Nothobranchius furzeri: one gene and its partners. The protein of the gene in region 1 purifies or fractionates together with the protein of each later gene. This does not show direct contact. Links are inferred from orthologs where the notes say so. Each region holds a gene or a part of one and is shown in the gene's direction. Other genes may lie near its edges.

Region 1 (3,750 bases):
GATCCTGAACACCCTGAAGTTAAGGAGCCTACCTTGGTCTGAGTCAGAGACTGGGATGGCATGGATTCTGGAAAAACAAGAGAATCTAAAATGCAGACAAAAACAGCATTATGACAAGACCACAAGGGCACTTAGACTGCTTACAAAGGATGATGTGGTGAGAGGCCAAGATCAAAATGCATGGAGCAGAAACGCCATTGTTCCTCAGTAAGCTGACCCAAGATCATATGAAGTAAGACCTGAAGGTCGTAAACTCAGAAGGTACCGTCATAATCTGCTGAAGAGCAAAGACGCCTTTTAGGAGGAACAATGTGGTGAGAAGGCAAGCTGTTGTGGCTCAAGCAGAGATGGTGCCTGCCATAGGAGGACATGAAAAGCAGAGGAAAGTGATGTCTCTCCAGGACCTGTGTTGAGGAGGTCAGCGTACCACCAGAAACCAGTCGGGGTTCATCTATTGTCGTATTTCTATGTTGAGCGTACTGCAGAGAGAGGGGTGAGATTCTTCTAACGCACGGTCGTGCACTCGAGCCTGCGCACGTGCCCAAGTGCACTTACAGAAGACCCGGAGACCGCAGATTCAGGCTTGTACTGTTTTGAGACAGCGACCTCTAAAGGATCAACGTGTAACTGCAACTGCAGATTCAAGCTTAACCGTTATTTATAAATAATATGTAATTGTCGGTGAAGCTTATTAAAATAGTTTATTCGTTGTTAACGCTTCAGTGAAGTAGTTCTCAGAATACAAATTTGAAAATTCCTGAGTAAATTTTAATAATAAAAGCTTTTATCATATTTATTTAATTGAAGTTGTTTGTAGAAACAAAAATAAAAAACTTTCCGATCGTACTCCATCTTGGAACGCTAGCTAACAGTGGGCGGCGCTGTCTCAAAAACAGTACAAGCCTGAATCCTGTGGGGCGCAGCAAACTTAGCCGCCCGCCTGCGCAGCGCTGGTGGATGTTTTAATTCCTCCACTAACTGTGTCGTCACACTGGGCGGATACCTCCGTCACAGATGGTCCAATAGCAGGGCGAGAAGCGCTGGACTGACAGCTCGCTGGTGAAAGACCGCGGGCCAGCTGTCACGGCGCGCGAAAGTGTAAACTTTGTGTTCGGTGAGCGGGTGAGGCGGGAGGAAGCGGAGCTGTCCGGTAAAACGCGGCCTAGCTGTTCGGTAAGGAGCTGCAGTAGAGTTCTTTTCACGGACACGTTGTTCTCGGTGTCGGTAGCGGCTGTAGCCGTTAGAGGAGCGGACGGAGCCTCGTCCCTGCCGGGAGCGGGCGGACCAACCGGAGCACAAAGATGAGCCTTGTCCTGTCTCACCTGCAGGTAAAGACGCTAGCAGGCGGCGTCAGTGGAAGGTGTACAGACAGGTACATGTGAGACAGGTGTGTGTTCAGCGTGCTGGAGGGAAACGTCACCAACAAGGTGCTAAGGTGCTGTTAGCCGCTTAGCTGCTAACACCGAGGAATCGGTTCTTCCGTTCACCTCGTTCTAATTCGGTAGAGCTCCGTTAAAAAGTCACATCAAACAGTCCGAAGGTCCGGTAGCCGTTACCGGACAGCTGGGCGTTCGGTCCGACACGGTTATCCAGCTGTGACGTTGATTCATTGTTTTACTGACCGAAGGCGCCATGAATCCGGCTAGCAGCTGGTCTGGGATCAGCTAGTCCGCCTTGACCCAGACCGTGTTTCTGATCAGGACTGGTCCCAGACCAGTGTCTCTCTGTGGCCCGGAAACCAGTCCGAACCAGGTCAAACGGCTCTGGTGTGAGAGGTGGAACAGCTACGGGTTCTAGACCCGGTTCTCACACACACACACACACACGCACACACACACACACACACACACACACACACACACACACACACACACACACACACACACACACACACACACAGGCTCTGAAGTCTGTCTCTCTTCAGACTGAGGCGTTGGCCCGAGCAGCACCACAGAGCCACTGGGACAGCGGGATGGGTCCTCCTGCAGAGGAGGAGGTCCCAGAGACGTCTGATAGAGGAGATGAGTGTCCAGGTGAGACAGACCTGCTGCAGGACGCTCGTGGACAATCAGGAGAAACCGTGGTCCCCTAAATCAGTTTTTCTCTCAGATTCAGATGATGACATCACAGTTCACAGGAAGCCTCGGCGTAACGCCATCAGAGACAGTGACAGTGAGGAAGAGGAGGCACCAAGACGCCTGGAGCTGTCTGAAGAAGCGGTACCTGCCTCTAGTGAGGACGAAGAGAGGAGGAATAAAGGAGGACAGAGGAGCAACAGAAAGGCTCGTGCATCTGATGGTAGCGATGGAGAGCACGAGGAAGAGGAGGAGAATAAAAGAGAGAAGAGTCAAAGGCATCGAAAGAAGAAAGAAAAACGCAGCAAAGTGGTGGAAAGCCTGAAAAGGAGAAGGAGGTCTGGTGGAGGAGAGGAGGTGAGTTCCGTCTGAAATTTTCATCCAAATAAATCCAGAAATCTTAAAAATAAACTGGTCACCTTTTGCTCTTTCCATCAGGACGTTCCTCTTCCTCCAGCGCTGAACGACAGCGGCTGTCCTCTGGGTGATCCAGAGCTGTTTAGCACCGGTCTGGAGGAGGAGGAGGAGGAGGAGTCTCTGGACGCCATCAGAGCTGCGGTCAGACAGAAAGTGAAGAAACACAAAGTAAGAACAAGATGTTTACGTCACTCTGACCCTAACTCCGCTCGTGTTCTGGATGAGAAGAGTCCGGACGTGTTTCAGGAGGAAGTTTTGACTAAACTTGTTAAATGTGACTGTAGGACCCCCTCCTGGAGGAAGAGGAGGAGGATGAAGAGGTCCCAGAGAAGCCCCAGCGAGCGGTAGGATACAGCACCACGTTAGACCAGGTAGACGACTCGGACTGAAGGTAGAATAAACTGATTGTCTCTGGGGGCTCCAGGAACGGAAAGCAGCTCGAGCCAGCAAGGAGGCGATGAAGCAGCTTCACAGTGAGAGCCAGAGGCTGGTCCGAGGTCAGTTCCCCTGGCTCTGCTCTGCTTTAGCTGCAGGGGTTTGATCTGCAACACGCTAAACGTTTCTCTGCGTCTGTAGAGTCGACGCTTGGGTTGCCATACCACATCCCTGAACCCAAAACCATCGAGCAGTTCTTCAAGAGGAGGACCCGGCCGGAGGGATCGGCCATGGCGCTGCTGAAGTAAACAGTAACAACTAGTAGCCCTGCGTTGGCGCGGCCCTGGGTTGGGTCGACGCGGCCCTGGGTTGGGTTGGGTCGACTCGGCCCTGGGTTGGGTTGGGTTGACGCGGCCCTGGGTTGGGTTGGGTTGACGCGGCCCTGGGTTGGGTTGGGTCGACGCGGCCCTGGGTTGGGTTGGGTCGACGCGGCCCTGGGTTGGGTCGACGCGGCCCTGGGTTGGGTTGGGTCGACGCGGCCCTGGGTTGGGTCGACGCGGCCCTGGGTTGGGTTGGGTCGACGCGGCCCTGGGTTGGGTTGGGTCGACGCGGCCCTGGGTTGGGTCGACGCGGCCCTGGGTTGGGTCGACGCGGCCCTGGGTTGGGTTGGGTCGACGCGGCCCTGGGTTGGGTCGACGCGGCCCTGGGTTGGGTCGACGCGGCCCTGGGTTGGGTCGACGCGGCCCTGGGTTGGGTTGGGTCGACACGGCCCTGGGTTGAGTCGATGCGGCCCTGGGTTGGGTCGACGCGGCCCTGGGTTGGGTTGGGTCGACGCGGCCCTGGGTTGGGTTGGGTCGACGCGGCCCTGGGTTGGGTTGGGTCG
Region 2 (3,650 bases), on another chromosome or scaffold:
TAATTTCAGGACCACCTCCTGAGACAGTGGAGGATGAGGATGATGGAGTCGAGTTAGAAGAGGAAGAGTTGATGTCTGTTCAAGTCACTGAAAAAGAGTTTAACTTTTTGGACTTCCTCAGAAGGTGAGCGAGGGTAAAAGCGTCGTCTCTGGGTGGGTACAGTCTCCTAACAGCTTCTGTCTCATCTCCACTCTGATAGGTTTGCCAACCCCGCCGTCGTACGTCCTTACCTGCTGCTGTTAAAGTCTTACTCTAAAAACACCCCCCACACAAACCACTGCATAGCGCGAATGCTGCACCGCTTGGCTGTCGACCTGAAAATGGACGCCCTGCTCTTCCAGCTGTCGGTCTTCTACATTTTCAATCGAATCATGAGCGATCCAGCTGCAGCCGCGTACAAGGTGCGTCGGTACCGCTGCTTCTCCAATCTACTGTTGGTCAGACGTGAGAGACAATCCTGTTTTTCTTCCTTCACAGGAACTAGTGACCTTCTCCAAGTACGTGGTGAACCGCTTCTTCTCAGTGGCGGCTCAGAACAACAAGGCGTATGTGGAACTGCTCTTCTGGAAGAACGTGGGGGCTGTACGCGAGATGACCGAAGGCTACAGGAAGGAGGGGTGAGAGTTCTGCTTTTGTTTGTGTTTATCAAGCAGACGTTGTTTACAAACTAAAAATGCAACCTAGGGCTTGTGTGTTTATGTTTGTCACTTTTGTCATTGTTCTAAATGTTTCAGCGAGGGGAAGAAGCCAACGTGGACCGAAGAAGAGGAGGAGGAGCTGCGGAAGCTCTACCTGGAGCACCGGGACTCAGAAGGTCTGCCTTGATCTTTATTGTTGTGTTACTAGTCACCAGATTGAGATGACCACCAGGAGGATGAGATGTGTTCACTGATTATAAACAACAATGTTGCATTAAGTTAGTTTCATATTTGGGACTTGTTGTTTCTGGGTTACGCTGCTAGTAAAACAAATAATGAGTCGCCTTAAACAAAAAACTCAAGAAACCGTTTCTGTTTCTAGTGCCAGACATCGTGGAGACTCTCCTGTCGTTAATCAGCAACAGCGCCCGCACTCGGCGACATGTGGTGACTCAGCTGGTGCACATGGGTCTAGTGGACAACGCCAAAGAACTAAAGAAACAGAAGTAAGAACTTAGAACACGGAAAAAATATTTTTTATGATTATTTCTGATTAGAATCTGTCTGAGTTATTCATGCAGGCTGAGCATGAAAATAGTCTCCTACACCTACAGTGGGGCAAAAAAGTATTTAGTCAACCACCGATTGTGCAAGTTCTCCCACTTAAAATGATGACAGAGGTCCGTAATTTACATCATAGGTACACTTCAACTGTGAGAGACAGAATGTGAAAAAAAATCCATGAATTCACATGGCAGGATTTTTAAAGAATTTATTTGTAAATCAGGGTGGAAAATAAGTATTTGGTCACTTCAAACAAGGAAAATTTCTGGCTCTCGCACACCTGTAACGTCTTCTTTAAGAAGCTTTTCTGTCCTCCACTCACCTGTCCTCACCTGTATTAATGGCACCTGTTTGAACTCATTATCTGTAAAAAAGACACCTGTCCACAGCCTCAAACAGTCAGAATCCAAACTCCACTATGGCCAAGACCAAAGAGCTTTCGAAGGACACCAGGAAAAGAATTGTAGACCTGCACCAGACTGGGAAGAGTGAATCTACAATAGGCAAGCAGCTTGCTGTGAAAAAATATACTGTGGGAGCAATTGTCAGAAAATGGAAGACATACAAGACCACTGATAATCTCCCTCGATCTGGGGCTCCACGCAAGATCTCATCCCGTGGGGTCAAAATGATCATGAGAACGGTGAGCAAGAATCCCAGAACCACACGGGGGGACCTGGTGAATGACCTGCAGAGAGCTGGGACCACGGTAACAAAGGTCACCATCAGTAGCACACTACAACGGCAGGGAATCAAATCCTGCAGTGCCAGACGTGTTCTGCTGCTGAAGCCAGCGCATGTCCAGGCCCGTCTGAAGTTTGCCAGAGAGCACATGGATGATACAGCAGAGGATTGGGAGAATGTCATGTGGTCAGATGAAACCAAAGTAGAACTTTTTGGTATAAACTCAACTCGTCGTGTTTGGAGGAAGAAGAATACTGAGTTGCATCCCAACAACACCATACCTACTGTGAAGCATGGGGGTGGGAACATCATGCTTTGGGGCTGTTTTTCTGCTAAGGGGACAGGACGACTGATCTGTGTTAAGGACAGAATGAATGGGGCCATGTATCGTGAGATTCTGAGCCAAAACCTCCTTCCATCAGTGAGAGCTTTGAAGATGAAACGTGGCTGGGTCTTCCAACACGACAATGATCCCAAACACACCGCCCGGGCAACAAAGGAGTGGCTCCGTAAGAAGCATTTGAAAGTCCTGGAGTGGCCTAGCCAGTCTCCAGACCTCAACCCCATAGAACATCTGTGGAGGGAGTTGAAAGTTTGTGTTGCTTGGCGACAGCCCCAAAACATCACTGCTCTCGAGAAGATCTGCATGGAGGAATGGGCCAAAATACCAGCTACTGTGTGTGCAAACCTGGTAAAGATCTATAGTAATTGTTTGACCTCTGTTATTGCCAACAAAGGTTATGTTACTAAGTATTGAGTTGAATTTTTGTTATTGACCAAATACTTATTTTCCACCCTGATTTACAAAAAAATTCTTTAAAAATCCTGCCATGTGAATTCATGGATTTTTTTTTTCACATTCTGTCTCTCACAGTTGAAGTGTACCTATGATGAAAATTACTGACCTCTGTCATCATTTTAAGTGGGAGAACTTGCCCAGTCGGTGGCTGACTAAATACTTTTTTGCCCCACTGTACCTCCTGCGCCAGCTTCTGATAGAAAATAGACGTTGAAACTCTAGGATTAAAAAACCCTGACAGATCTACGTCAGTGTCACTTACAGAGAGACGAGGCAGTTTTGGCTTGCTTTTAGCACCCCCTCATGTCCGTTTGTAGAACCAAAACCAATCTCCTCGTTGTGCGTTCGTCTTTAATAATCTTAATCTAACAGCTGAAACGTCTCCCAGCCTTCTTTAGTGTCTACAGGGGAGATTTATCACTAAATTAAACAAATCAGCTGTGTTCTTGATCTAAAACATGCAGGAAACGTGCTGGACCCAGGTGTGTAAGCTCAAGTTTAAGTCCATCAGACTGGACCTGCAACTGTGAAGCTGCAAGTGAAATATTCTGACCACAGAGGGCGATAGGGGGTGGGGCACAAGAAAATGGTTTAAAAATATGAAAAAGTTGCATTAATCCCTTTAAAATTCATGGACTCGCAACAAGGATGGTTGTTGTTAGTTTAGTGTCCATTAAACATCAGAGATTGTCTCGACTTGCAGAAGCTAACCGTTAGCATTAGCAACTCCACCACACAGCAACACTCCTTCAAACTCGTGTTATTTGTGGAGATAAAACATCAGTGTTGCAAGTCAGTGGTAGTCATGTTGATTTTATACAATCCAGGGAATTTTATACAATCCAGGGATGGATGTCCAAATATCAGGAAATAAGACTCAGTACATGCCACCTGAAGCTCAGCTGTGATGTGGTTCGCTTCTAGTCCCTGGAAATGGTGTCGCTGTGGGTTTTTTTCAACCCTG
Region 3 (3,650 bases), on another chromosome or scaffold:
CAATTGTCTATTTTTGCTCATTTAAAATATATTTTTAAACATTTTCTAAATGCTTATTTATATTTTTACATTTTTTGTTTTTGTGAAGTGCCTCGTGATTTTTATCTTGAGAGGCGCTTTAGAAATGATATTTTCTTCTTCTTCTTCTAAAACTGTCAGTGTTGTGCCGTCGTCAGGTAAAAACTCTGCACTATATTTGAATTTAAATCTGCCACCGCTATTGGCTAACAGGTAGGCTATGATGTAAACTGGTACATTATGATGTCACAATGCTGTCGTGAGCCTGTGTGTGTGTGTATTTGTTAGCGGCTCCGCCCTCTCAGTCTGCCAGGCAACAGCATTTGTTGCATTTTTCAAACAGGAAGCGGGAGTGGAGTTAGACTCTGGTAGGGGGTGACTTGCTCTTTAAACACAACTTATCAAATAAAGCAATTCAAAATTACTCAAACATCAACAATTATTACTTCTGTGCACCTGTAAATGCTACAAAATGTATTGAAAACAAGAAAAATAATACTTTAAATAAACATGTTAAATAAACTTTCTAGGTCATTCACAAAGTCACAGTGCCACCTTGTGGTGAAACCTTGAACAAAAAAGTTGCTTAAACTACCTTTACAGCTCGTATGATGAGTTAAAGGGAAAAAAAGAAGACAAAAATAGAAATAATACAGGAGGAAAGTGTAGGGTAAGTAAAATTCACAAAACAAGACACGATAAAATAACTACGTATGTTGTTGTGTATAAAGCGACTGGTGCATGGGTTGATTCAGGGTGGTGATTTTATTTATACATCTTGTGTGATGTATAAAGTCTGTCTTGGATCAAATGGACCTGTCGCGTGTGCCAGAGGGCAGGAGGTGGAACAGGTGGTGTGAGTCTTGTCCCTCTCAGGCCTGGTTTCTCTGTGTTCAACTAAAACCAAATTAAATACTAATCGACGTAATTTCCAGTTGCACGACTCCGCTTTGAACATTTTCAAAGCTTTCATGTTTGTGTTTTTATTAGGCGCTGTTTCATTGCGACCACATTCAGTACACCCTGGTGCCGGTGATCGGCTGGCAGGATCTCTCCACCGCCTTCCTTGAACACAAAGAGCAGGTCAATAACAACACACTTGAGTCTACTCGTGGATATGTACAACAGAAGGCTGATTAGGACAAAAACTGTGAAATAAATGTTTTGATTGTTTTGTAGTTTCGATACTTTGTTCTCATCAACTGCGGGGCGAATGTTGACCTCCTTGAGATGCTGCAGCCAGATGATGACTCCATCTTCTTCATCTGTGATACTCACCGTCCCGTGGACGTGGTTAATGTCTATAACGACACTCAGGTGATGTAGGATGATCAGGTTTTAGAGGACTAACCGCAAACTTTAATCCCCTCATATTGAACTTACTCCCTACTTAACCGTCATTCGTCCCCTCCACAGATTAAACTGCTAATCAAACAGGACGACGATCTGGGCGTGCCGTCGTACGACGACATCTTTCGAGACGACGAGGAGGAAGATGACGGCTCTGGAAACGACAGCGACGAAGGCTCAGAGCCGTCCGGAAAGCGGAGGAGGTTTGATGAAGTGAGGAGCATTAGCAGACGCTGCAGAAAGGATGCCAGAATTCAATTCAAAAATACTTTATTAATCCCAGAGGGAAATTGATTGAAGAAGAAGACAGCGAGGCTGACTTAGGCCTAGTCCACACGTAGCCGGTTTTTTTTTTAAAAACGAATATCTGCCCCTCCAAAAACTTGCATCCACACCACCTCGTTTAAAAAAAAACTGTCCACACGTACCCGGATAAATACGTTGTTAAGGACATGCCAGACCTGTAGGCGGCAGTACTTCCCCCGTTCTTAACCTCGTCCTTCGTCTGTGGTCTTCCGTAAGGAGCAGTAATTCTGCTTGCAAAAACAAACAAGCAGAAAGCGCTTGGACAATTGATAAAGCGAGCGCAGCTCTGAAGGCATCCATGCTGTCGGCTGGTGTAAACACAGGTCGCACACGTGATGTCAGCATTTTTGGTCGCGGAAAGTGACGTTGCGGACCTTAAAACTCCGGTTTTGTCCGTCCACACGCAGACACCCAAAACGGAGAAAACGCAGATCTTCACTTTGGCCGGAGTTTTTAAAAAGATCCGTTTTCGTGTGAAAAAACTCCGTTTTCTTGTGGATGACAGGCCAAAACGTAGAAAAATATCTACGTTTTGGCAGATCCCCGGCTACGTGTGGACAGGACCTAAGGCTTGTGGACATAGGACATATTGTGCTGAATTCACCTTTTGGAGCACTTTGTGCTGCCCTGTGGCTCTCTACTGCCTCTAAAAACACTCCACAGGTGAAAAAACATCTGTCCATTTTTTTTTCTGTAAGTATTTGGATTTAGGAATTATTTGCCTTAAGCAAGAAGTTTCAGAAAGTCCCCGTTTGTGACATCATAAACAGGGAAAACCCTGCATCACCTCTCTAGGCTAGAAGAGCAGCGACTCTAGGCCAAGCCCCTCCCAGCCAATCAGTGGATGGGTGGGCCTGGTCAGATCCCCGGCTACGTGTGGACAGGGCCTAATGCTTGTGTCGGGATTGTGTCGTGGCAGGGGGCGATTGAGAGGAGAATTGAAAGGCAGAGAGCGAGGAGGGAGTGGGAGGCACGGAGGTGAGATTTTGTCTGTTTTTATTGAACAGTGAGATATCTGTGATGTGTGTCTAACCTTTTGAAGTTTCTCAGGAGGGAAATCTTGTTCGACTATGAACAGTTCGAGTTCCACGGGACCTCTGTGAGTACACAACTCAGATCCTGAGCTTCAGCTGATATAAACTATACACAAACCCATCATCTGCCTTTGACTCTCAGGCTGCGATGATGTTTTTCGAGCTCGCCTGGGTTCTAACGAAAGACACCAAGGACATGCTCTGGTGAGCTTTCAAATTAAACATTTCTATAAACGACTTCCAGATCACAGAAATGCACGCGGCACCGTTCCGTTAAAATCCGTGTTTGCGTCTACAGGTGGGCCATCATCGGGCTGACGGACCAGCAGATTCACGACAAGATCACACAGTGAGGATTCGCTTTCTAAAGGTTTTCTGTAAATGTTTGCAACAAATGGCTCGTGGTTAGAGTTTTATTTCCTTTTCAGCATGAAATACGTAACAGATGTCGCAACGATGCAGCGGCATGTTTCCCGACATAACCACCGAAATGAGGACGAGGAGAACTCTTTATCCATCGACTGCATGAGGATCTCCTTTGAATACGAGTATCCTTTCTTTATCTTCTAACAGATCTTTGGGTTTTTTTCCGTTCTGTTTTTCTTAACCCCGTGATCCAGCCTGCGTCTCAGCCTCTACCAGCACTGGTCTCTGTATGAGAGCATCTGTAATTCTTGCTACACCTCCAGTAGCTTTAAGCTTTGGACTTTAAACGGCCAGAAGAAACTGCGAGAGTTCTTGGCTGATATGGGGTACGCATTTTCAAACCGGTGCTTCGTGTGTCAGCAGTAGAGAGACGGCAGCATCTGATGCTTCATTTCTTTTTGTGTTGTTGTTTACAGGTTACCTCTGAAACAAGTGAAACAAAAATATACATCCATGGACATGTCGATAAAGGAGAACCTAAGAGACGTCATTGAAGAGTCCTCTAATAAATTTGGG

What was found.
Region 2: the proteins of claspin (region 1) and timeless purify together in Homo sapiens (affinity purification with western blotting; 4 studies listed by BioGRID). This does not show direct contact. The link is inferred for Nothobranchius furzeri from reciprocal best matches to the Homo sapiens genes CLSPN and TIMELESS.
Region 3: the proteins of claspin (region 1) and cdc45 purify together in Homo sapiens (affinity purification with western blotting; 4 studies listed by BioGRID and IntAct, with this or other methods). This does not show direct contact. The link is inferred for Nothobranchius furzeri from reciprocal best matches to the Homo sapiens genes CLSPN and CDC45.

The regions. Positions count from the first base shown.
Region 1 is NC_091759.1:26,753,952-26,757,701, forward strand, and holds the start of claspin, read left to right. Parts: upstream 1-1,166; 5' UTR 1,167-1,301; coding exon 1,302-1,328; intron 1,329-1,924; coding exon 1,925-2,033; intron 2,034-2,109; coding exon 2,110-2,432; intron 2,433-2,513; coding exon 2,514-2,660; intron 2,661-2,776; coding exon 2,777-2,836; intron 2,837-2,916; coding exon 2,917-2,989; intron 2,990-3,068; coding exon 3,069-3,171; intron 3,172-3,750.
Region 2 is NC_091743.1:49,124,182-49,127,831, forward strand, and holds part of timeless (protein timeless homolog), read left to right. Parts: intron 1-9; coding exon 10-124; intron 125-200; coding exon 201-402; intron 403-478; coding exon 479-618; intron 619-735; coding exon 736-815; intron 816-1,021; coding exon 1,022-1,145; intron 1,146-3,650. UniProt on the Homo sapiens protein: Plays an important role in the control of DNA replication, maintenance of replication fork stability, maintenance of genome stability throughout normal DNA replication, DNA repair and in the regulation of the circadian clock.
Region 3 is NC_091757.1:55,442,599-55,446,248, forward strand, and holds part of cdc45 (cell division control protein 45 homolog), read left to right. Parts: intron 1-1,008; coding exon 1,009-1,101; intron 1,102-1,197; coding exon 1,198-1,335; intron 1,336-1,434; coding exon 1,435-1,581; intron 1,582-2,593; coding exon 2,594-2,652; intron 2,653-2,724; coding exon 2,725-2,773; intron 2,774-2,850; coding exon 2,851-2,912; intron 2,913-3,006; coding exon 3,007-3,057; intron 3,058-3,136; coding exon 3,137-3,256; intron 3,257-3,328; coding exon 3,329-3,460; intron 3,461-3,550; coding exon 3,551-3,649; intron 3,650-3,650. UniProt on the Homo sapiens protein: Required for initiation of chromosomal DNA replication. Core component of CDC45-MCM-GINS (CMG) helicase, the molecular machine that unwinds template DNA during replication, and around which the replisome is built.